6 linked regions of the Xenopus tropicalis genome follow. The protein of the gene in region 1 interacts with the protein of each later gene in a pairwise test. Links are inferred from orthologs where the notes say so. Each region holds a gene or a part of one and is shown in the gene's direction. Other genes may lie near its edges.

The links.
Region 2: the proteins of fhl2 (region 1) and znf131 interact in binary tests that used the Homo sapiens proteins (3 or more experiments, as listed by UniProt). The two-hybrid records come from large-scale screens. The link is inferred for Xenopus tropicalis from reciprocal best matches to the Homo sapiens genes FHL2 and ZNF131.
Region 3: the proteins of fhl2 (region 1) and jup interact in binary tests that used the Homo sapiens proteins (3 or more experiments, as listed by UniProt). The two-hybrid records come from large-scale screens. The link is inferred for Xenopus tropicalis from reciprocal best matches to the Homo sapiens genes FHL2 and JUP.
Region 4: the proteins of fhl2 (region 1) and itga7 interact in a two-hybrid assay, tested with the Homo sapiens proteins (2 studies listed by BioGRID and IntAct). The link is inferred for Xenopus tropicalis from reciprocal best matches to the Homo sapiens genes FHL2 and ITGA7.
Region 5: the proteins of fhl2 (region 1) and kiaa1217 interact in binary tests that used the Homo sapiens proteins (3 or more experiments, as listed by UniProt). The two-hybrid records come from large-scale screens. The link is inferred for Xenopus tropicalis from reciprocal best matches to the Homo sapiens genes FHL2 and KIAA1217.
Region 6: the proteins of fhl2 (region 1) and gng12 interact in binary tests that used the Homo sapiens proteins (3 or more experiments, as listed by UniProt). The link is inferred for Xenopus tropicalis from reciprocal best matches to the Homo sapiens genes FHL2 and GNG12.

What each region holds. Positions count from the first base shown.
Region 1 is NC_030678.2:111,734,304-111,738,600, reverse strand, and holds the start of fhl2 (four and a half LIM domains protein 2), read left to right. Parts: upstream 1-1,497; 5' UTR 1,498-1,835; intron 1,836-4,297. UniProt on the Homo sapiens protein: May function as a molecular transmitter linking various signaling pathways to transcriptional regulation. Negatively regulates the transcriptional repressor E4F1 and may function in cell growth.
Region 2 is NC_030677.2:195,028,561-195,032,847, reverse strand, and holds the start of znf131 (zinc finger protein 131), read left to right. Parts: upstream 1-1,487; 5' UTR 1,488-1,654; coding exon 1,655-1,732; intron 1,733-3,869; coding exon 3,870-4,008; intron 4,009-4,164; coding exon 4,165-4,266; intron 4,267-4,287. UniProt on the Homo sapiens protein: Plays a role during development and organogenesis as well as in the function of the adult central nervous system. May be involved in transcriptional regulation as a repressor of ESR1/ER-alpha signaling.
Region 3 is NC_030686.2:7,366,675-7,370,710, forward strand, and holds the start of jup (junction plakoglobin), read left to right. Parts: upstream 1-1,236; 5' UTR 1,237-1,284; intron 1,285-4,036. UniProt on the Homo sapiens protein: Common junctional plaque protein. The membrane-associated plaques are architectural elements in an important strategic position to influence the arrangement and function of both the cytoskeleton and the cells within the tissue.
Region 4 is NC_030678.2:137,071,635-137,075,816, reverse strand, and holds the start of itga7 (integrin alpha-7), read left to right. Parts: upstream 1-1,382; 5' UTR 1,383-1,589; coding exon 1,590-1,768; intron 1,769-4,182. UniProt on the Homo sapiens protein: Integrin alpha-7/beta-1 is the primary laminin receptor on skeletal myoblasts and adult myofibers.
Region 5 is NC_030682.2:25,946,418-25,949,917, reverse strand, and holds part of kiaa1217 (sickle tail protein homolog), read left to right. Parts: intron 1-343; coding exon 344-827; intron 828-1,986; coding exon 1,987-2,158; intron 2,159-3,005; coding exon 3,006-3,154; intron 3,155-3,500. UniProt on the Homo sapiens protein: Required for normal development of intervertebral disks.
Region 6 is NC_030680.2:83,489,026-83,493,269, forward strand, and holds the start of gng12 (guanine nucleotide-binding protein G(I)/G(S)/G(O) subunit gamma-12), read left to right. Parts: upstream 1-1,444; 5' UTR 1,445-1,463; coding exon 1,464-1,556; intron 1,557-2,339; coding exon 2,340-2,465; 3' UTR 2,466-4,244. UniProt on the Homo sapiens protein: Guanine nucleotide-binding proteins (G proteins) are involved as a modulator or transducer in various transmembrane signaling systems.

The sequences.
Region 1 (4,297 bases):
GTTCCCAATTAGTTTTTGACATCATCTGTGTAAACAAACAAAAACATTGATATGAAGGAGCCCTAACCGTTTGGGGTTAATGCAAAAACATTTGCAATGTTTGATAGGTTCCTGTAACCCACAGCAATCAGTCATCAGTTCATTGTTAGGGGTCCAGTACAACAACAGCAATGAATGAATAATTCATACTGGGAACATATCATAATGCCTACAGTGACCACCACATTCGCTTAGACTTTTTAGTGTGTGTGTTGACACTGCCAGAGTAATTAAAGACAATTACATTCCCAAAGCAACTGGAAAAGGTTTCACATGTTCCAAGAGTTATTAATATTCCGGAGATAATATCACTGGGGCTGCGTGAGACAGAGCACACACTAGCTTAATAAGCAGATTAGTCTCTGTTTTCATTTGAGACTTTCCTTCTCCTGAAGGCTCAGTGATGTCTGTCATATTTCATGAGGTTTATTAAAGACCTGGGACATTATTTACAAAGACCTACTATAAATCATATAAATCCTTGAAATCATGAACAGAGTAATACAGGGGGATAAAAAAAATGACCAAGATACTGTATTAGAATTCATAGAAATCCACTAAGCAATGCATATTGATACAGTCGGTACTATCCTGATCCTTAGCAGAACCAGTAGGGTGCATGCACATCCAGCAGTGAAGATTAGTGTCAGTGTTCTGATTACTCCTACTAGTTAAAGGGATATTTTAAGATAGAAAATGTGCTATAACAGACGTGCTCCTACCAAGGTCCTGCTTCCTTTAGCATGTAACTAGTAGCCTATTTGAATATTACATGTTAGCAAATGCATTATATTAAAAGGCTGAGAAAAAAATGCATTATATTAAAAGCCTGAGAAAAAAAAACAATTTGGAATTTGAGTTACATATTATACTCATTAAAAGCTAGTTAAACAGTACAAATTTTCCATAATACAACACTCTCTGGTTATTAAGGTGCTGGGAACAAGGCAGGTGTCTACAGTTGTCTGGAAGCGCAGAGTGCCCACGCTGCAGTAGAAGGGAGCGCCCAGCACAGGCGACCATGTTGGGACAGTCACATACACAAATGAGTGAGTGCCCCAGCTCACAAGCTCTTCAGAACTAAAATCAAATCCTGCCTGTTGGAGCCCTAGCATAGTATCTGGTGCCAGGTGTGATTCAGAGCTCACTCATTCAGAGTAATGGCTGTACTTATTACTCTCCATGCTTTGTCTGTAAGTTACTCAGCCACATAAATTGTAAACTTTCTAGGCCTGGAACCACCTTCCTCCTGTGTCACTGTTTCCTTGTTGGCTCACTTCTGACTGTCCTGATAATGTACTATAAAAAAGCGTAACACTGCATACACAAATAGCACTTTATAAATAAAGATTTATTCCTAATTATTCCTAATTTACAAAACCAGATGTGAAACCCCTGCTGCTCCCTATAATTGCTGCCTGCTTAGAGTAGTTTGTAGTTGCAGGGCCACTTTAGAGGATAATTTATAGCTGCCTGTGTGGGATGCAGGTTGACCAGTTTTGTTCTCACTTAAAAGACTGGAGAGCTATGAATAAAAACCATCCACAAATACATGTCTGTCACTAACTAACGCCTTAAAAGGCTGCTTGCTATGAGGTGCCACTATGCTTATCTGCAGGGAAGAGCTGTTTTATTAGAGATATGGTATTAATAGCACAGCAAGCAGAAGAATGTCCATCTTCCTAATTATCACACTCATTGTTTAAATAATTCAGTGAGTATCAAAACTCCAAAGGACTTGTCCCAGCCATTTCATTCTCTGACTGGAGGGCAGACCTGGCACACTTTAACCGCAGGTAAGGGTTGTTTTTACTTTGCACAGCAGCTAGAGACATAATATAGTATAATGCATTAAAACTCTCATGTACTTTAAAATGCCTACTGAGGATAAAAAATCAGTTATTTTATTTCACTAATTTTGAAAATGTGTGTGCAACAGGGTCCAGAACTCTAGGTGCTTAAATTGCACTCACGCCACCAAAGCAAGATGGTATTGTGTTATGTTGTAACTTGTAGTTCAGCAATAGCTGGAGAGCCACAGGTTGGAGGTTACTCTAATAAAAAGGCACTTACAATTTTGTTAATAGCACTGCAGTGCAGTTTATCCTTGCAGAGGCACAAACTATAAACAGGATACTCTGGATGAAGTGGAACTGTCTGCCTTATTCTCCTTTAGTACACAAAGCCTGATGGCCAAATAGAATTAAAACTTTCTAGAGACCTAGAATATGTATCTACACAAACCACTGTATGAATTCAAATGCAATGATTTCTTTTGACTGTACTTTTTGGAAAGGAAGCACAACAGTTTATGATAATAATATTATTGATCTCTTATGCTGAATGCTCGGCGTGCTGAATGCTCGGCGTGCTGGACTAGGTGCAACTAAGAAGCAGACCTTGCTTTATATGGTAATAAGAAATAGTGACACATTACTATCTGTTATAGGAACATGTCAGTACAGGTATGGGACCCATTATCCAGGATGCTTTGGACCTGGGGTTTTCCGGATAAGGGGTCTTTCCGTATTTCGGATCTCCTACCTAAAGTCTGCTAAACACATTATTTAAACAGTAATTAAACCCAATAGGATTGTTTTGCCTCCAATAAGGATTGATTATAACTTAGTTGAGATCAAGTACAAGCTACTGTTTTATTATTACAGAGAAAAAGGAAATCATTTTTAAAAATGTGAATTATAGGATTAAAATGGAGTCTATGGGAGATGGCCTTGCCGTAATTTGGAAAGCAGGAACAAGTGCATGCAAGACACTGGATTATTGGAGGGAAGGCAGCTGATTTCGGCAGCAAAATAATGAGAGCTAAAATCAAAAGTACATTCGATTCATTCATTCACGTCGCTGTTCAAAGAATCATAAGCTGCATGCAGAGAGCAGCAAACCAATTTTTTAAAGGGGTAGTTCAACTTTATTTTATCCTTTATTGTGTTATAGAATGTCCTATTCTTATTCAACTGGCCTTTCATTTTTATTTTGTACAGCTTTTGAATTATTTGCCTCTTCTGCCTCTTTCCAGCTTTAAAATGGGGGTCACTGACACTGGCAGCCAAAAAACTATTGCTCTGTGGAGCTATTTTATTGTTATTGATGCTTTTTATTCCTTTGCTTTCTATTCCGTGTCTCTCTTAAATAACCCAAAAAGCACAAAAAATTTCAAAATATCTACATCATACTAAAAGTTAATTTAAGGGTGAACAACCTCTTTAACAGCTGTCTGAATCATTAACCACAGTATGGGATCTGCTTTGGGAAAAATTAAAAATATATTTAAAACAGTCAAACATTCTTATAATAAATGTAAAAAAAAGTTTTAAAAAACAAAACATTTCTGTTGGGAAATATTTGCATGTTAAAGGTGTTTGGATTTTAATTTAATGCCTTGTTATAAAGATACATGAAGAGTAAATGGAAAGATAGAAGCAGGGCACCATACAGTACATACCATTCTGGCAACTAAGCCATGAAATGCTCAGCTTATACGTCTCCATAAAGAGAATCATAACAAGCACCAGACCTTTTGAGTACTGGAATCTTAAGTATAGAAACTGTGACCATGGCAAAGACCGTAGGAATACTCAAATACCCAAATTGTTGTGGAAATGAAATCTGACAATAACATTTGGTGCAATACATTGGATTTTCTCTATTGCTCCTTGGCGTGACAGATAAAATAAAGACAGGGTACCCAGATGAAAGGGAAATCAGTGTCACATCACAGGATTAGCAATAAGGTGTGCAGAGATACAGAGCAGGGCACTGATTTGGAAGACAGAAATAAAACTTGTCTTTAACGAGCCTGTCAGAATGCTTTAGAGATTATGTTGCCATTGACAAGTATAACGACCAGCTAACGGAAGGTATGGGAATTTGCTTTTTGGAGTTTGTGATTGTAATTAAGATGGGAAGAGCTAAGTGCTGCCTTAACACTACTGAGCAGCCGCACATTAGGTTGTGCAATTATCAAGCTAAGCAGCATTGTCAGATCTACACTGGGGTACGAAACCCTTCTCACAAAACAGACAGAATTCTATGAGCTTAGCTACACAGATAAACCGCAACCCAGTATGATCCAATTGTCATTCTCAGACTCTTCAAACACCTGGAAACCTGTGACCCAAACTGAACTTGTCTTTGCAATATATTTGGATGCAGTAAAAGGCAAATTCATTCATTTTCAAACTCTGATGGCTAAATAAATCATTTGATTTTTTTCTAATTTACAGAAAAATGTGGTCAA
Region 2 (4,287 bases), on another chromosome or scaffold:
CATTACTTATACAGTTCTGTATGTAATATGCAACATACGTGTGTACATACCCATTACTTGTACAGTTCTGTATGTAACATACGTGTGTACCTGCCCATTACTTGTACAGTTCTGTATGTAATATGTAACATACGTGTGTACATACCCATTACTTGTACAGTTCTGTATGTAATATGTAACATGCGTGTGTACCTGCCCATTACTTGTACAGTTCTGTATGTAATATGTAACATGCGTGTGTACCTGCCCATTACTTGTACAGTTCTGTATGTAATATGTAACATGCGTGTGTACCTGCCCATTACTTGTACAGTTCTGTATGTAATATGTAACATGCGTGTGTACCTGCCCATTACTTGTACAGTTCTGTATGTAATATGTAACATACGTGTGTACCTGCCCATTACTTGTACAGTTCTGTATGTAATATGTAACATGCGTGTGTACCTGCCCATTACTTGTACAGTTCTGTATGTAATATGTAACATATGTGTGTACATACCCATTACTTGTACAGTTCTGTATGTAATATGTAACATACGTGTGTACCTGCCCATTACTTGTACAGTTCTGTATGTAATATGTAACATACGTGTGTATCTGCCCATTACTTGTACAGTTCTGTATGTATGTAACATACGTGTGTACCTGCCCATTACTTGTACAGTTCTGTATGTAATATGTAACATGCGTGTGTACCTGCCCATTACTTGTACAGTTCTGTATGTAATATGTAACATACGTGTGTACCTGCCCATTACTTGTACAGTTCTGTATGTAATATGTAACATACGTGTGTACCTGAGCATTGTACACTGTCACAGAACATGTTAGCACTTTATAAACATCCAACCTGCGGCAGTACAAACCTGTGGCCGCCCTAGTATGCCCTGCACGGTTGGTGGGATGTAGTTTAACAAGAGCTGGACCTACTCAGTGCAGCCACCATCCCCCCTGTACGTTTGGCCAATGCTTGCTGCCTATCCCCCCCCATGGGATCCCTAAGGAAACTGCTGCCTTTGTTTTCCCTACAGCCGAGCGTGTAACGCGCAGAGGATGCGGGAAATGGTCGCTTTGGTACCCCAGCCTCCCACACCCATCTAAAACCCCAAACTCCCCTCACTTCACTTTCATTTCAGCAGGGAGGTCAGAGGCCGAAGTGACGTCAGTTCCCGCGCTATGGATGCTGGGAAGCCGAGGCGCCCGCCCTTTCCCCCCCACAGCCATCGACAGACTGGAGGAGGTGGAGGCCGCGGGCAGCCTATCTCGCTGTAGCCGGTAAGTGACTGAGAAACTAACGCAGCTTCTCCTCCGCGTCACTGGCGGCTAGCGCATCTCCCTCACAACCACATGTTATAAGGCCGCCTGCCTGCATGGGGGCGATTTTTCTTTATGCGCGATTTGATGACGTAATAGTGGCCGGCTGGCGCCGCAGTATATACTGAGGGAGACGAGAGGCCGTTTCCGGGTGGTGGGCTAGTCACAAGCGATGTAACTTAGTAACTGGGTACATTAGAGGACAGGTCACTGCATTATTTTTTTGGCTCCGCTCCCGTTTCTCTGTTTTAGTTTCACGGCCCGGAGGCAGGCACTGGGTGGTCAGAACAGGCCTTCCGGTGTTTAAGGCGGAGACGCAATTGGCCAGGTTGTTGACATGATGGATGGACGGACGCCCAATAGGAAGCGAGAGGGGAGGGACCAGTGGTTAAGCTGGCTGAGGGCGTTGCATGGAGTTAGTAAGGGAAGGGGAGGGGCCAGCGCTCACTCGTGTAGTTTCCCAGCAGCATCACAAACAGTCAGAGAGTTCTTTTAGTTAAAAGCGACACACTCCGAATTTTACTCGATCTTTAGAGTTTTAGTTACGTGATTTGCCGTGATTTCCCAAACTCCAGAACGTAAAAAGAATGTCACCTTTATTAATATTAGCCTGCCTTATTTTATTCGCCTCATCAATGAGATACGTGAAGTAAAAGTGTGCAGGGAATACCATGGGAAAGGGCAGTCTGCCATTCTAAATAACGTTTCCACATGCATTCATTACATTTTCAGTGGCCATTGGGAAATGGTTTCAGCAATACACTCACTGATCACACACGGGTAGGAATAGGGGGCTCCAGCTTAAAGGAACAGTAGCACTAAAAAATGAAAGAGCTTTAGTAATACAAATATAATGCACTGTTGCCCTGCACTGGTACAACTGGTGTGTTTGCTACAGTAAAGGCCCCCATACACAGGCCGATTATAGTTGCCGATATGGGTCCCTTGGACCCATATCGGCCCGTGTAGGGGCAGAACCGAGGGGCCTGGCCGACCAATATCTGGCCTGAGATTGGCCAGATATCGATCGGCCATGTTTGAAAATCCAGTCAGATCGGGGATCGCATCGGCTCGTTGATGCGGTCCCCGAACCGACTGCCCCATCGCCTACATGCCTCCCCGATATCGCCACACGTAGGTGGGGATATCGGGTGAAGATAAGCGAGCGGATCTGCCCGTGTATGGCCAGCTTTACACTACTATAATTTATATAATAAGCTGGTGTAGCTCCGGGGGAAAAAGGAGAAAAGCTTATCGGCCCGTGTAGGGGCAGAACCGAGGGGCCTGGCCGACCGATATCTGGCCTGAAATTGTCCAGATATCGATCGGGCAGGTTAGAAAATCCAGTCTGATCGGGGACCGCATCGGCTCGTTGATGCGGTCCCCGAACCGACTGCCCCATTGCCACGTGAAGAATTCGATCGTTTGGCCCCAGGGCCAAATGATCGAATTCGCCTACATGCCTCCCCGATATCGCCACCCGTCGGGTGAAGCGAGCGGATCTGCCCGTGTATGGCCAGCTTTACACTACTATAATTTATATAATAAGCTGGTGTAGCTCCGGGGGAAAAAGGAGAAAAGGCACAGGTTACATAGCAGATAACAGATAAGTTCTGTAGAATACAATAGTGTTTTATCTGTTATCTGCTATGTGCCTGTGCCTTTTCTCCTTTGAATGGCTGCCTCCATGGCTACACAGCAGCTTATTTATATAAATTATAGTAGACTTTCTGAAGTAAACACACAACTTTTACCAGTGCAGGGCAGCAGCACATTATATTTTAGTTACTTTTATACACTTTAATTTTTTGGTGTTACTGTTCCTTTAAAGGACAACAATGTCCAATTCACTGGTGCCAATATGTAAAGCATCCCCCCGGTGAATATAGTCACTAAGGTTATTTCTCCGGGCTGCTCCTAGGGAAAAATACATGCCCCCCCAGGTGCATTCTGCAGGTCTTATTAACACAATGGGGCACATTTACTAATCCACGAACGTCCGAATGCGTTTTTTTCGTAATGATCAGTATTTTTGCTACTTTTTTGGCGCCTTCACGATTTTTTCCGTATTTTTCGCAACTTTTTCGTCGCCGTTACGACTTTATCGTATTTTTTCCGCGACTTTTTCGTCGCCGCCGCGAAAAATTTGGATTGGTTTTTCCGCCGTTTACAATTGCTCAATACGAAAAAATCACAACGGCTACGAAAAAATCGTGACCGCGACGAAAAAGTCGCAAAATTTTCGTTTCCAATACGATTTTTTTCCCTTTCGGGATTCGGATTCGTGGATTAGTAAATCTGCCCCAATGCCTCGTGCAGCAGGGAAAAGTGGCAAAAAAAAAAAAATTTTTTTTTTTTTTTTGCACATTGTAAATGAGCCCTATTCTCTTTTTATTTTTTTTCCCCCAAACTTAAGTAGAGGTTATTATCTGGAATGCTTGGGAACTGTTTTTTTCCTGTAATTTCAGACCAGCATTTAGCTGCTGCCTGTCGGTGCTGAGGTTCTAGGTTCAGTTCCAGTTCCAGTCCCAATTTACTTTTTCTTGTTTCAGACAAGCTGTCACGGTATGGAAGCAGAGGAGACGATGGGTTGCATTCAGGAGTTCCCAGACCATTACAAAGTGATGTTGGACAGACTAAATGAACAGCGAGAACTTGATCAGTTTACTGACATCACATTAATAGTGGATGGTATGTATGTTGCTCCCGCCATTTATAACGCGTTATATCATTGTTGCTTGATTCATTCGTCAGCCTGTTTATTCACAAGTATTCATTTATGTATTTGGGTTGTTGAGTTTATGGATCGTGCTTTTAAGCATCTATTTTTTACCTTGTCTTGCCCAGGTCATCAGTTCAAAGCTCACAAGGCCGTTCTTGCTGCATGCAGTCACTTCTTCTACAAGTTTTTTCAAGATTTCACTCAGGAGCCATTAGTGGAAATTGAAGGTATTTCAGTCCTTGTTGTTC
Region 3 (4,036 bases), on another chromosome or scaffold:
TGGGATGTCAGGTCGTAGGGAGGGGGAGGTGACACGGTGTATTGTCATTCCACTGTTTGGTGGGGCAGGGGTGGGATTGATCTGTTTCATAATTACATCCTAATGTAGTCATTTAGCTACCAGACATTGTATTGATGTCAGCGTATGGTTTAAGCATAACTAGATATAAAGCAAAAAGCAGCGATTAGCAGCCTAAACTACAACTCCCAGCACTCACCATCAACTGTTATGGGTAGCTGTAGTTCAGGGGTCCTCAAACTACAGCCCGCAGGCCAATGGCCCCCCAAGGTCATTTACCCAGCCCCCCACTGGGACTACGCCGAGGCAGACAGGTAGTAGCCAGGGGTGAGGACGCAGGCGTAGTTTGAAGACTAGCCCCCCAACAGTCTGAGGGACCGTGAACTGGCCCCCTGTTTGAGTTTGAGGGCCCCTGCTGTACAGAGTACAGAGGCTAATATGTACTATTTCAAAGCTGTACTGTAAGGGAATCTCTTAATGTGTGGAAACATAGGCTGTCAAGGCATGCTGGGAGTTGTAGTCCAATAGCTGGAGAGTTGCCATCAGATAGTATAGTCTCACAATAAGGGAACACTTATAATAAGGAAAGCAGAAATGAGTTGAACTAATAATAAAGAGACTTTGTAGTGTTCTTGTTCTCCTGACAGAATGGAAGGCTTGCGTATCAGAAGCCCCTGAATACGCCCCTACTCAGCACCAGTTGCCCTATAAAAACCTCCATAACAGAAACTACAGCTCACACCTCCCCTCCCTGTCTGCTGCCCTTGTCTCTCTCTTTCTGCCTGACTCACCTGCACAGGTGAAGCCCATAACGTCATTTAAAGGAGGGCATTACAGGTCACACCCGTGTCTGCGGGCAATGCCCCCCTCCGCAGCTATTGGACGGCGTTATTTGGATTGATATAGAACTCCTCCAATCAGAGTTCACCTTCCCAACTTGTGCCCAATCGCAGATTACAATAGGCATGGAGTGAAACACAAGAATGATTGCCAGCGAAGGCAGCCAATGGGGAAAGTGTGGGCTTCGTGGGGTGGGCGTTTGGGAAGGACTGGGCGTTGTGACTGATTCACATGTTTTCCAATTGAAAGCAAGAGACGGCCGGGCAGTGGTTATTGTCAGGCTGGGGGGCGGGGCGTTGCTGGTTGGGTGGGGGGTGCTGCTGACAGCTCGGTGTAGGGCTTAGTTGTTGGAGTGTTCAGGTCTGGGCGAGTTCCTGACTGAATTGTGGGGATACAGAGGCCTCTTCCAGCGCTTCACAACGCAGGGTAAGGAGCTGCCATTATCGCTGTGTGTGTGGGCTGGGGCGGGCTGGGGAGACTGGCATCTCTTGGTCTATGGCGTGTCCTTCCCTGCCTCTAGCCTGAAGCGCCTTCTCTTTCCTCCTATGGAGCCTGTAGGGCTGTTGGTTCGGGCTTAGCTTTCCTAGTCTCTGAGCTGCTGCTGCTGAACTGCAACTCTCAGTATTCTATGGCAGCTACCCTGCTAGAAATGATAGCTTGGGATAGTCCATATGCCTGACTGCTGCTGAACTGCAACTCTCAGCATTCTATGGCAGCTACCCTGCTAGAAATGATAGCTGGGTATAGTCCATATGCCTCACTGCTGCTGAACTGCAACTCTCAGAATTCTATGGCAGCTAACCTGCTAGAAATGATAGCTGGGTATAGTCCATTGCCTCACTGCTGCTGAACTGCAACTCTCAGAATTCTATGGCAGCTAACCTGCTAGAAATGATAGCTTGGGATAGTCCATATGCCTGACTGCTGCTGAACTGCAACTCTCAGCATTCTATGGCAGCTACCCTGCTAGAAATGATAGCTTGGGATAGTCCATATGCCTGACTGCTGCTGAACTGCAACTCTCAGCATTCTATGGCAGCTAACCTGCTAGAAATGATAGCTGGGTATAGTCCATTGCCTCACTGCTGCTGAACTGCAACTCTCAGAATTCTATGGCAGCTAACCTGCTAGAAATGATAGCTGGGTATAGTCCATTGCCTCACTGCTGCTGAACTGCAACTCTCAGAATTCTATGGCAGCTAACCTGCTAGAAATGATAGCTGGGTATAGTCCATTGCCTCACTGCTGCTGAACTGCAACTCTCGGCATTCTATGGCAGCTAACCTGCTAGAAATGATAGCTTGGGATAGTCCATATGCCTTACTGCTTGCTGCTGCTGAACTGCAACTCTCAGCATTCTATGGCAGCTAACCTGCTACAAATGATAACTGGGTATAGTCCATTGCCTCACTGCTGCTGAACTGCAACTCTCAGCATTCTATGGCAGCTAACCTGCTGTAAATGATAGCTTGGGATAGTCCATATGCCTTGCTGCTGCTGAACTGCAACTCTCAGTATTCTATGGCAGCTAACCTGCTGTAAATGATAGCTTGGGATAGTCCATATGCCTCACTGCTTGCTGCCCATCACTATTAGTCCCTAAAAAAAAAAAATAATATTCTCAGTTTCCCCTTATATTTCAGCCTGTTCCTTATCTATGGGTTAACCCTTTCTCTCCTTGTTGTAACCCCTTCACTGGTGTAACACCTGCTCATTTAACCCCTCCTGTGCTTGCTCTTCTCACCCTTCCCCTATCACCTCATGTGTTACCTTTGTATTTACCCCAGGCAAATGTATATACTGGCTACACCCATCCACACTGATCCCATGGAGGGAAAGTCTCTCTCTCTGTCTGAATGTTTGTTGTTGTTTCTTAAATACCTCCTGTTGTGCTGCTCTGTTCCTGTGTATTGCTACATTGTGTCATTATTCCAGCCTTCATAGCAAGTGATGATTTCTTCTATTAATGCCTATGGGAGAGCAGGTTGGACTTGCTACTACGGCGGATAAAGCATGTACTGTGCTTTTCGCTACAGCTGCCAGCTGAAGGCTGTTGGTGCATCATGGGAATTGTAGTGTAACAATATATGGCCATTGGATTCTGCCCTCGTTAGCATAACCTGTTTATCTAGCAGTAATCCTTTATCCATACACTGTAGAGCTGCCCATACACCCACCGCAAGATCTACTCGTTTGGTGAGGTTGCTAAATAAGCGGAGAATTACCCCATTAAGCCACCCAAACTGGTCTGATAGACCCAACTGGCAACTACTGGGTTTCAAGCTGAGAAGGGTCCTTGCCCGACTGGATTTACCGACCACATGTAGCTGACTTTCGCGCAGATATCCTTTGAGTAGGTCCAACTTGGTCATAATTGGGAGGGGGGTTTATATTGGCTTAACCCTATAATGGAATATTTAGTAACTAACCTTATACTGTATATAAATACAAAATCTATTGTGCAGACGCAGGCAACCCACCCCTGCCCCACCAAACAGCGGTATGACAATACACAATGTGACCTCCCCCCTCCCCACGACCTGACATCCCAGTATGTAGTGAGGGAGTGGCGTTACACAGCACAGACTCTTCCCTGAGGGGGAAACGACATTCTCCGATCCATTGTGGCCCCCAGTCACAGACACACACAGCACAAATGTTGCTTCTGGCCAAGCAGATCAAGTCATTAAATATCTGTAATTTGGGCGGCGTAAAGCATCGACCCACAAAGCAGAATTACAGAATACATGTACGTAACATTTTGATACATTGTCATTTCATTTGTGCGTTTTTATGGGAGTTCTAGGGGTTGCGTTCACTTAGGAGGAAGTTACGTTTTCGACAAATATTGTCTCAGTTAATGGGCTTTTCCATTGCCGTCACTTTAACAAAGTCACATATATCAGTGTTTGGCTTTTTACAGTAGTGGACTTTGTGCGCTTTATTTAGTAGATAGTGCCCCCGCCCACATATAAAGCTTTCGCTCCGTCACTGTGCCAGGCATTCTAAGGACAGTGCCAGGAGTGAGCCCATCATTTGAAATGATTCATGGCCACGGGCTTTGTGTTTTCCCTTCTCGCTGCCAGAGGAGACAGCGGCACATTGAGCCCAAAAGATTAACAGTTGCTTTAGGTGATTGAAAGAATCTGGGAGAGGAATTCTGGGAGGTTTTCTAGAC
Region 4 (4,182 bases), about 25 Mb from region 1:
GCAGGATTTGTGAGTAAGCTGGAGCAGGAATAGACAGCAGGATTGTGAGTGAGCTGAAGACAGAATAGAGAGCAGGATTGTGAGTGAGCTGAAGAAGGAATAGAGAGCAGGATTGTGAGTGAGCTGGAGCAGGAATAGAGAGCACGATTATGAGTGAGCTGAAGAAGGAATAGAGGGCAGGATTGTGAGTGAGCTGGAGCAGGAATAGAGAGCAGGATTATGAGTGAGCTGGAGCAGGAATAGAGAGCAGGATTATGAGTGAGCTGGAGCAAGAATAGACAGCAGGATTGTGAGTGAGCTGGAGCAGGAATAGACAGCAGGATTGTGAGTGAGCTGGAGCAGGAATAGACAGCAGGATTGTGAGTGAGCTGGAGCAGGAATAAAGAGAAGGATTGTGAGTGAGCTAGTGCAGAAAGGGAGAGAGCTAACTGCCCATTGGAATGACAAGCATGAGATTGTATTAGATGTGACCTCTGGCTATCAGCAAAATGTTGCTATGTAAGCTTACATATAACAACTATAAGCAAACTTTATTTCAGAGATATGACAAAGTTGCACAAACTAGATACAGTTGTACAGCACTGAAACATTTACTTGAGTGCAATGCACAGTTCCGAGCATACAACCAGCAGAGCCATCAGATCACTGCAAGATGAGTTGGGCTTAGGTATCTCACACTTAATGATGCAGAGAACCTGCATCATTAAAGTGATACTGACATGAAAAAATGACTTTTCAAATTATGAATCTACTTAAAAAGTTACCTATAGGTTATGTTTATCTTTTTTCACTGTTAGGGCTGGTTTTGTATGTAATTGTTACTTGAAGTTGCCAACCTGACTGTCCCTTCTTGGCCTTCAGTTACAGCTCCTAATGCAAACGGCCTACTGCTGCACAAATATGGCAGCCCCCTCATAGAGGAACATGGGGGATCAGATAAGGAATGTAAAATCATCAGCAAATACTTGTATGGCAAAATTATAAAGCTCATGCAAAGACAATGTTATGATAGATGTAAAAAAGGTTTCATTTCTGGTGTCAGAAACTCTTTAAAGCATTTTGTAGTATAAGAACTGACATCACCAAATGGCAAAGCCCCCACCTAATTTCTAGCTAGCAGTATGGCACAAATGTTCTGTAAGTGGGTATTCATGCCATAGAAGATAGTTTGACTCTCTGTTGTCTCTGTTACTTTCTATAAATTAAAAAAGAGACCACACAACACTTGCAGTTAGATCAGGGGACTTACCTCATTTATTGGGCCAGTGCAACACTATTCTATTTTTGTTAAATAAAGAAACTGTAAACTACTTTGGATGTCTCTTTCCACCTGCTCCCTCCCATCCCACCTCCCTGCACTCTCTAGAGTTCTGAAGCAAGAGGGGGCTTGTCACTATGTGAATGCTGCACTCTGCCTGATCAACACTTTACTCCTTAGTCTCTGTGTCCTCACTTTGTCATGTTTGTATGACAGCAGTGGACAAGGCTTGGGGTTGATTTAGTAAATGATATTCCTTGCCTGGGGGTCATTAGAAGAGAAACGGTGCACAGTTTCTTTCTAGTTCATCACCCACGGGAGAGACTGCAGAATGCCTGCGGAACTGGGTGCTCCCCTCTGCTTCTCCTGCCTGTTACTGCTCGCTGTGCTCAGGATCCATGCCTTCAATCTGGATGTCACCAACACACTGACCAAGGATGGGGAAAAGGACAGCTTATTTGGCTTCTCAGTGGCCCTTCACAGACAACTAAATCCTGACCCTGTGAGCTGGTGAGTGATTTTGCTATGATGTAGAGTTCCTAGGGGCAGACCCTGCTATATCTGTATATGTGGAGTACAAAAGAATGCAGAATAGATGTTCTCTGAATTACTTTTTAGAATGTTTTTCTTTATTAACAGCATCCCCAGTGCAGCTTGTACTATAGAGTGACATCCCTAAATCACACAATAGAGTTAGTTTTATCAGAAGCCACATAACTTGCCTGTATATTTTTAGAATGCGGCATCAGAGCTAACCAGTGAGCCCCAGTGTTCCCATCTCAGGGTAATTTATATGGTTTAATATTTCATCATACCAAAGCTGGCCTTACATACCGAGATTTGGTTGGGCAGTTTGGCCAAGTTTGAGTATAGTGTGCAGCTAGCTGGGCATTAATACCAGATTGGGAATCAGTTTTGATAGACCATCCTGTAATCTTCTGTGACTTCTTTCTGGCCCATAATATATGTACTACTAAAGCTTAGCACTGCACAGCTTTCTAAGTGCAAGTAATCACGTTTATTGAATCAGTAATTTTCTACGATAAGTATGATGTGTGCTGTTCATCTTTATATTAACCTTAGTGCAATTGTGCCTGGTCAGTCTGTTTGAATAAATTAAGCACAACTGTGCCAATTGACACAGGGGAACCCTGTGTAGCTCCATGGTTCCTGCTGTAGCCAGAATTGATTTGTGCAGTGGAGTTGCACCTAAAGTACAGGTATTTTCATCGCAACTATAATTAAACTGGAATTATAGTAAAAATGCTGCATTCTAGGTAAAATACAAGGCGATAATGTATTCAGAATGGCACACTGCATTTGCGGTCATAAATGACCCTTATGGTCCATGCCACCTGTGAGCTTTCATGGGCCATGCTGTAAGGGACAGGCACAAATGACAGAATGACATCATTAGGATTCTTTCATGTTTTCCTGCTCTGCATTTTTGTCACCAGTAAAAGCTAAATATAAGCATAGCCATGCTGTTGCCCAAAATATCCTTCTTCTAAAGCCACCCACATATAATTTACTGTTGTCCTGTATTCCCTCCTGTTTGTATCTGAATTTTTGAAGAGATATTACATGATTTTTATAGATTTGATGCAATGTGTTTCTGAGACTTTAATAGAGATGATTTCTAGCTTTTTGTATTCATATTGTTTTTGTATGTAAACACCTAGGAAATTAGTGATTAGTATTTATAATTTGATGGGTGATTATTTTATATTACAACAGTTTCTGTTAAAAAATCAAGCAATATAAATTGGTCTTAAATGTGGGTATAATTTCTTCTTAGAATCTGTCAGGATTAAGATGGCATACATGGAGATATGCTGTTACTCAATTGTGTAAATTGTATTCAGTACATATACATATAGATATTTGTGAAAAAAAGGTTCACCTGTTGGCTTCATTCCAGTCCTATGAGTACAGATTTTTACTGTGGTGTTCATTTGTATTGGACTGTACCCAGGCAAGTTTTTACTTGGATATAGGGGCGTATTTAGGTCCAGTGACCTAAAGTGGGTGAATTTTTCTGGTTTGAGCTCTAATGTCACATTTTGATAAATCATTATCTGTCCCAAAGTGTTAATGGACAGATTTATCAAAGTGTGAGTTTAGAGCTTAATACATTAAAACTCACCCATGTTCTATTCATTCCTAATAGATTTTTAGAAGCTTATTTATCAGATGGGGAGTTCTAACTTTCACCCATTGATAAATACATTGCTAAAAATCCCATAGGAATGAAAAGCACGTGGAAGATTTTATGTATTAAGCTTTAAACTCATATTTTGTGAGTTTGCCCCTTTGTGTCTGTAATCACATGAAAATTACAGCACTGGTGATTTTAGTCTGACTTTCCCTAAAAAACAAGAATTCCACACTCCATTCTTCATTCCCATCATTTCTTGGGTGCACTATTATTTGATTACATATACCTGTTGCCTGTCTTGTCCTGTCCTGACCTCTGGATTATACTCATGTCTCATGTCACCTTGCTATTCAGACTCAGGTATGGAATCCGTTATCCAAAAAGTTTTAAATTACAGGAAGGCCATCTCCCATAGACTCCATTTTAATCAAATAATTCAAAGTTTAAAAAATGATTTCCTCTTTCTCTGTAATAATAAGACAGTAACTTGTTCTTGATTCAAACAAAGCTACATGAATCCATATTTAATTAATATTTAAATTATTTTTTGTAGACTTAGGTATGGACATTCAAATTATGGAAAGACGCTTTATCCAGAAAACCCCAGGTCCCAAGCATTCTGGATAACAGGTCCCATACCTGTACTGAGTCCTTACATTTTGCTTCAGATAGCTCACGCTAGCCTGATAGATATGTATAAATGCAGTTGCTCACCTTTCATGTGAACAGCATATCTTTTTTTGACAAATGATGATCCTGCAACCCC
Region 5 (3,500 bases), on another chromosome or scaffold:
ACCTGTCAGGCTAACAGCTAACTGGTTTCTATTGGTTACTGAAGTGTTAAAGGAAATGTAAACCCTCAACATAAATGTTAAATCACTCAGAAAACTCTTCTAAACACTTTGGCAATTTACATTCATTATATTTACATTCATTATTCTCAAGTTTTGAACATATTAGCAGTTTTGTTTTCTTATTGGTTGCTATGGGTTACTAAACCTGGGCAAATGTTGTGCCTTTTATTACCTTCCATATTACATATAGGGGTAAATCTCCTTTTGCTAAAATGAATAATGAGCCCAGGTGCTGAGAAGTTTACTTGTACAGGTCTAATTCCACCATTTTGTGTTCCAATAGACACGCCACTGACGGATCCTCCAAATCCATTGACAACAATCAGACCAGCCAGGTTCTAATAACAGAAAGAGTAACTGAGACTGATTCACTCCAGGTCCATGAGGAAAAGTCCCAAGTGTACCTTCAGCCAACACAAACTGATGGAGGAGCAGCAGTGGAATCGCCGACCACATCTGTTAAATCGGAAGTGGTTCCCCTGTCGGCCGGCCTCAGAGTCCATCAAGTTCAAAGTTCTCCGGTTCTCATGCAGCAGTCCCAGCACTCGTCTGCACTCGTGAACCACACTCCTGCCCCCAGTACCCAGAGCAGTCACAGCACAGAATTACTAGTGAGCCATCAAACTGCCAGCGTGCCACCCAGCGTCACCCCAGAAAGTGCAAGGAGGAACCCACCGACGGCCGCACAGGAAGGATCTTCCAAGCAAAGTCTTTTTATTGAGGAAATGAGTCAAGTGACTTACAGGAACCGAGCGGTGTCCATTGAGGTATATTCTTATATCTCTGTAGGAAGCAAAGCAAGTAAGGGGAAAGTAGAACTGAGCACGCATTTACTGACCAGCCATGCAGCAAATGGAGCCACAATGGCCCTGATATCTACAGAGCTCCTAGGAAGGGTTTATGATATTAATAATACATGGAAATAGACAGTTCACTTTCACCATATTGTCCTGGTCTTAAAGACATATACCCTACATATACCTTAGTTTTTTTTCTGAGCACTTTATTTATTTGATATTTTTCAGTATTGGCAATTTTAATACTAATACTACCATGAAGGTGTAACATGTACGCCCCCTGCTGTTTGGCCTGGGCGAGGGCCTTACTGGGCCCCCTACACCCCTGCGCTCCCCAACAAACCCCCTTTTCACTTTGTGTTGGTGCAGAGCAGATGATGAATATTGACAATGTTGTGCATAGAGAGAGTGCCTGCATCTTTATGTCCCCTAATCCTTAGGGTGGCCATACACGGGCCGACTATAGCTGCCGATATCGGTCCCTTGGACCGATTCGGCAGCTAATCGGCCCGTGTATGGGCAGGGCAGAGCGGCCTGGCCGACCGATATCTGGCCTGAAATTGGCCAGATCTCGATCGGCCAGGTTAGAAAATCCGGTCGGATCGGGGACCGCATCGGCTCGTTGATGCGGTCCCCGATCCGACTGCCCCATTGCCGCCCACATAATCCAATCGTTTGGCCCCAGGGCCAAACGATCGGATTATTTTTTTTTTACCTAAATGCTCCCCGATATCGCCCACCCGTAGGTGGGGATATCGGGGGAAGATCCACTCGCTTGGCGACATCGCCAAGCGAGCGGATCTGCTGGTGTATGGCCACCTTAATTATTTCTATTCCACCTTGTGAGTTGGGCTCAAGGAACAGTGCACATATACTTTATAGCTGCCATTATCCAGTGTTCCCTTAGTTCCCCAGTTTAATGCACCCAAATGGCTTTTTTGCTTCTAGTCTCCTAGTCAATGAGTTTGGGAAGGTGCCCATATAGACACGAATGCTCTTTCTGTCTTTGTATTACAGAATAGTCCTGTTATATTCTCAGGATTTAAGGCTTAATCATGTTGCCATAAAGCTTACCTGTAGGTAGTCCTATACAGAGACTGTAAGCTAACTATGTATGTATATTCTGCAGGAGGCAGAGAGAAAATTTGAAGAGAAGAGACAGAATCTTGATCATTATAACGGAAAGGAATTTGAGAAAATGCTGGAAGAAGCACAAGCCAGTATCATGAAGGCCATTCCCAGCTTAGAGGTGCCAGCCCAGTCCCAGAAAGTGGAGATTGTGGACAAAAAAGAGGTCACGGGTAAGTGTCCAAATACATCATTTATATTCTGGATGAAGTTCTATATATATGTTTACAATGTGCTGGGTGTCAGCTCCCTGTGCTGCCATACTGTTGGGATATCCATGAATACAGTTCCATAACTTGACAATATTCAAGGTACATTATATTCTATATGGGGTGTTTCTTTGAATCTGGGAGAGGTGACTTTCCATTTGTAATCAGAGAAGGAAGATGAAATATGTGTTTGGGAGGCAACCAATAGAAGTCTTTCCACTGGAGAACTTCTAATTACATAAGAATATATAGCAGTTTTGGGAAGGTTAAACCCTCATTATTCTCTGCTGGGGTTGGTAGGCATCACAGGCAGAGTCAAATAGTGATTTGTTCAACTATTGAGGGATGAAAAAAGGAAATAATTGAATCTGCTCCTGAAAAACAAATATTATTTCACATATCCTAAAGCTACACTAACATTTAAATAGGCTGCCTTTTAAAAAAGCGCTTTATGCTTCTCCAGTTGGATTAAAGCCTGTAGGGAAAAGACTGAATTTTTCTTTACAATCCTACGGCTCGGATCAGAAGGTTTAGAATCTGCACAAATAAAACAGAATTAGATTTAGCAGTGGAATTCTAAATGAAGTCCCAGTTACACTTACTCTCATTACTGTCGGACACCTCCCCATGGCTTGTTGCACCTTGTACAGCAAACAAACCAGTGACACTCTGAGAGATAGACGTGACATTAAAGACTAAGAAGAAACAAAAGCAAAGCAATATCCCCTTGCAGTGGTCTCTAAATGTAAAGACGTGTGACTGATACCATCTGACATTTCCCCACTAATCTGACTCTCGTCATCTTTTCTAGAGGTAAAAACCATAATGGAGCAGGATAACGATAAAGTAACAAAGTCTCCCCCTCCACCACCACCTCGTCGTATGTACCCACCAGGATCTGGACTGAACAGTGTATGGACAGCAGAATCAACGTTCTTGGTCAGGAAGGACAGCAGCAAGGTATTCTGGGCTTTAGACCAGCAGCCCACATACAATTTAACTTGTACCCCCTGTGATATTAAAGTGCCAACTTGATATAGGGTTCAGTCTCTGTTGTGTCCGCAAACCCTGCTTTAAGCTTTTATAGGCCATCATGATCAACCTACCCCCTAACTACAGTAAGCTCTTGAGGAGGAGTTTGTAGCCGTACATTAATGAGAAGGTTGTTATCTAAAACGCTCTATAATAGTGGTTTCCAAACCCAAGAACCATGAGTGTTTAATACAATCACAGGCATATCTTTCAAAATGACTTGTCCATGGGTTGGTCTACCTGCGCCCACACACTATATTAGGATTCCAGTGCC
Region 6 (4,244 bases), on another chromosome or scaffold:
GATTTAGTAGTGTTTTACATATGAGCTGTTTATAAAGACTTACATTGTTCAGGGGTATAGATTTCCTTTACTGTCTGATTGTAAATGCATTGCAGTTGGGTAATTTTCACTGGATGCTAGTAAGTTATGTGACAAGTAAAAGCGCATATCTGTAGCCTGTTTAAGATCATCAGCTATGAGAGTTCCATTTGTGAGTAAAAAAAGCAGCTGTGTTTATTGATGTATGTACAATACTAAAAGCATATTCTATTCTCTGTATCGCTAAACAGAATAAAAGGATTATTGCGGTCAGGGCTGCATCAAGCAAAAACTCTCAAGTGCTTCTGAGTAATCTAGTAACCCTAAAGCTGGCCATACACGTGGCGATCTCACGATGTTTCGTATGACCGTCGGTCGCACGAAACATCGTCAGATCCGCCACACACCATTCAGGGCTGAATCGGCAGGTAAGGAGGTAGAAACAATAGGATTTCTACCTCCTTCTGCCGATTCAGCTCTGAAGGGAGAATTTTGGTCAGGCGCCTTCTATGGCGCCCGATCAAAATTTTCTAACTTGGCCGATCGGCGAGCCGACCGATTTCAGCAGTTTCCTGCGATATCGGTCGGCTCGCTGACATGCCATACACGCACCGATTATCGTACGAAACGAGGTTTCGTACGATAATATCGGTGCGTGTATGGCCACCATACATCGGTACGACCGATGGTCGTACGAAACATCGTCGGATCGCCACGTGTATGGCCACCTTTAGCAAGAAGCAAGCTTGAGACCATTTTAAGGGATAGTGACAGGTTTCTATTTTAAACCCTATGCCTACTTAAATCCAGTGTGATGCTATTTTTTTTATTTAATTGATTTTTATGTGCCTCCCCCCATACTAACCTGTGTCAGTCTCTGGTGCAGCTTCAAGTTAAACACATTCCTGAGTGATTACATGCTTGGGGGCAGGACAGTATTCTCATAGTCTGGAGACACTGTTTACATTTGTACTCCAGTTTATCAGAGTTTTGTCCCACGCCCCAACCACGCTTCATCAGAAAGTTGTTCAACTTGAAGCTGTGATAGAGTCCGACACTGGTTAGTATTGGGTGAGCTGGGGGAGGCCACTTTGTTATCTAACTGAGGTGCCCCTGCCTCCCCCAGCTCACCCAATACTAACCAGTGTCGGAAACATTCCTGCTAAAACCTGGAATGTTTCACTATACCTATAAGTTAATACTTAAAAAAAAAAAAAAGCATTATAAATGTTTAACTGTTACTGTTCAACAGAGCAATCCTTTAATTCTTTCCATTATGTTGTTAGATTGTTCAACACATTGCTCAGACAGACATTGCAGCTCTACTGCACCAAAAGGCTGGGTGTGTGGAGTACAAGAAGCTGGTATCTCTGGAATGCTGTGATTATTTGGAATAGCAGAGGACAACCTGTTCTTTCTTCTTACCTTTTTAGACCTCACCAAAGATGTCTGCAAAAACAACCAGCACAAATAACATAGCACAGGCACGAAGAACTGTACAGCAACTCAAAGTGGAGGCCTCCATAGAAAGAGTAAAGGTAAAGACCTATACAGTTGTTGAATTAAACTAAAAGAACACTTGCATACGACCAGACTGTTAACACAGATATGCCACTTTACAAGACAAAGAAATTCTTGTCTGTAAGAAGTATTGTTTTTAAGCCTTAAAGCCTCTTGACTAATTGCTGCATTTGATCCCTGATCCTTATTATGTGTTTTTACTATTAAACTGTTAAAGGAACAGTAACACCAAAAAATGAAAGTGTTTTAAAGTAATTGAAATATAACATACTGTTGCCTGCACTGGTAAAACTCTGTTGTTTGCTTCAGGAACACTACTATAGTTTATATAATAAGCTGCTGTGTAGCCCCGCTGGCAGCCATTCAAGCTGGAAAAAAGGAGAAAAGGCACAGGTTACATAGCAGATAACAGATAAGACACCATTGTATTCTACAGAGTTTATCTGTTAGCTGCTATATAACCTGTGCCTTTTCTTCTTTTGAATGGCTACACACCAGGGTTTATATAAACTCAAGTAATGTTTCTCAAGCAAACACACAATTTTTACCAGTGCAGGGCAGCAGTACATTATAGTTTAATTTCTTTAAAATATATAAATTTTTTGGTGTTACTGTTCCTTTAAGTGTGTGTTGGCATATCGATGAAAGATCTGCTCATTTGGCAACCTTGCCGAACAAGCGTATCTTCACGTTTATAGCCGCCCTTAGTGAAAAGTCTATCAGGAATTCTAAAATCAAGAATTGCTAAAATTCTATCAAGAATATCGGAATCTTGGAATAAGCTTGTTCTTTTGTTTTAGGTTTCAAAAGCATCAGCCGATCTCATGCGTTACTGTGACGAACATGCCAAGAATGACCCTTTGCTCATGGGAATCCCTGCATCAGAAAACCCCTTCAAGGATAAAAAGCCTTGCATTATATTGTAGTGTAATAGTTACTAGTGAACATCATATTTTTTTTTTAAATTTTGTCTCTTTCCAACACCAGATCCTATCTGTTTTCCACTTGAGAAAAAGTGGGTAAAAAATTCTATACCAATGATTCTTTTATATATTTCCCCTTTATAGCTTTCTTACTCATGGGATCAGTTTGTTTTTTAACCAAATGTTATGGTCTGAACAGATATTAAGGAGTGAAGTGGATACATATTTATTTGTCTGCATTTTAATGTGCAGTGTCTACTTGTCCATTTTCAACATTGCTAGAAAAATTGAAGTAAGACCAACGTTGCCTCAACTTGCTGCACAGAGTTTATCATTGCAGGCAAGGAATGATGGAGGTTTACTATGAGCTGCCATTCATACTGAACCCCCTTCTGCAGATTCAACCCAAATGTCAAATGGGCAAGCCTCAGCCATCTACAGTTAACATCCTCATTCCTCTTTCTAAGCCTTTGAACCTGGCACACTATGGGCTGCTTCTCAGGATCTTTCAAAAGCCAAATTGTATCTGTACCAGTTTAATGAATGTGAAAGCAACATTTTTCAGCAGACATTTCTGTTGTATTGATGTTGGGTTTATAATTTAGGACCCGTAATGTGTAATATTTGTAATTATTTTCCATATTTTTGCTTATGTCGTGGGGTAGGAAGTATGTTTTTACATGGAGCTGCTGGAAGCGGAAGGCACACATTTTTACAGACATGGATATGGGTGAACTAAAAAACTTGTGTTGCTCCAGTTCTGAGCTTTATGGGGGCTGGATTACCATCAACTGGGTTTGTGCTTTAAATGCCTAGGGTTAAGTTCCGGAACAAGCAGTTCTTAAATGGGACCACACATACAGAACATTATAGGAGCCACACAAGGCCCTGTAGCAAGTTATCTGTCATTTTAATCAAAGTAACGGCCTAAATCAAGCTAGCAACTTCACCAGGGAATTATTGAGTGTGCTAGTATTTTTTTTATATATTCATTTTGACCAAGTTGATTGAATGAACATGTATACTCTAAATTCATATTTTTCTACAATGCCAATATGCCGTACTTGAAGGGTAGTTAGAGACCAAGTGTTGGGTTTACCCTTGATAGGAAACCTAGATATCATGTATGTGGCTGGACCACCCTGTATTTAAGCAGGGGATGAATTTGTTAATCTGGCCGAGATTGCAGCCTAAAATGCACAAACCCTTCTACTTCAGTTAACAATCTTTTCCTAATGATGATTTTACATGATACAATATCATACATAAAGAGGATGCTGTATTACTGATTGCATTTATATTAAAGCATAATTTATAGTTTTTAGTTTGTACAGAATAAGCTTCTAAGATATGTAATACTGACTCAAAGACAAGCTTGACTTGACCAAAAAAGTAAGGAACATTATAAAATCTGCCACTTAAGAAAAGGGGAAGGTTTATCAAAATGCTACATTTATATGATAATAATAATTAATTATGTACTTTGGATAATGTTTTTTTTCTATTTCTTGTAAAAAAGTTGGCGAACACTATGTATTAGAGAAAATAGGAGGCATATCTCAATGTACAAAAAGGAGTTGGGTGCCATATAAGTAGTAATGATATATGGTACACTTCTCTTACTTTCCCCAGGCCCTGGGTAGACACTTATCGGCTCACTGTGCTTGAACTTTGTGTACAAGGCATTAGCCTGCAAGTTATACAAGCTTGGGAAAAGTTTGCAAGCATTGCCAAAACAATGCTGGCTGAAGGCCAATAAAGATGACCAGCCACCAGCAGCCT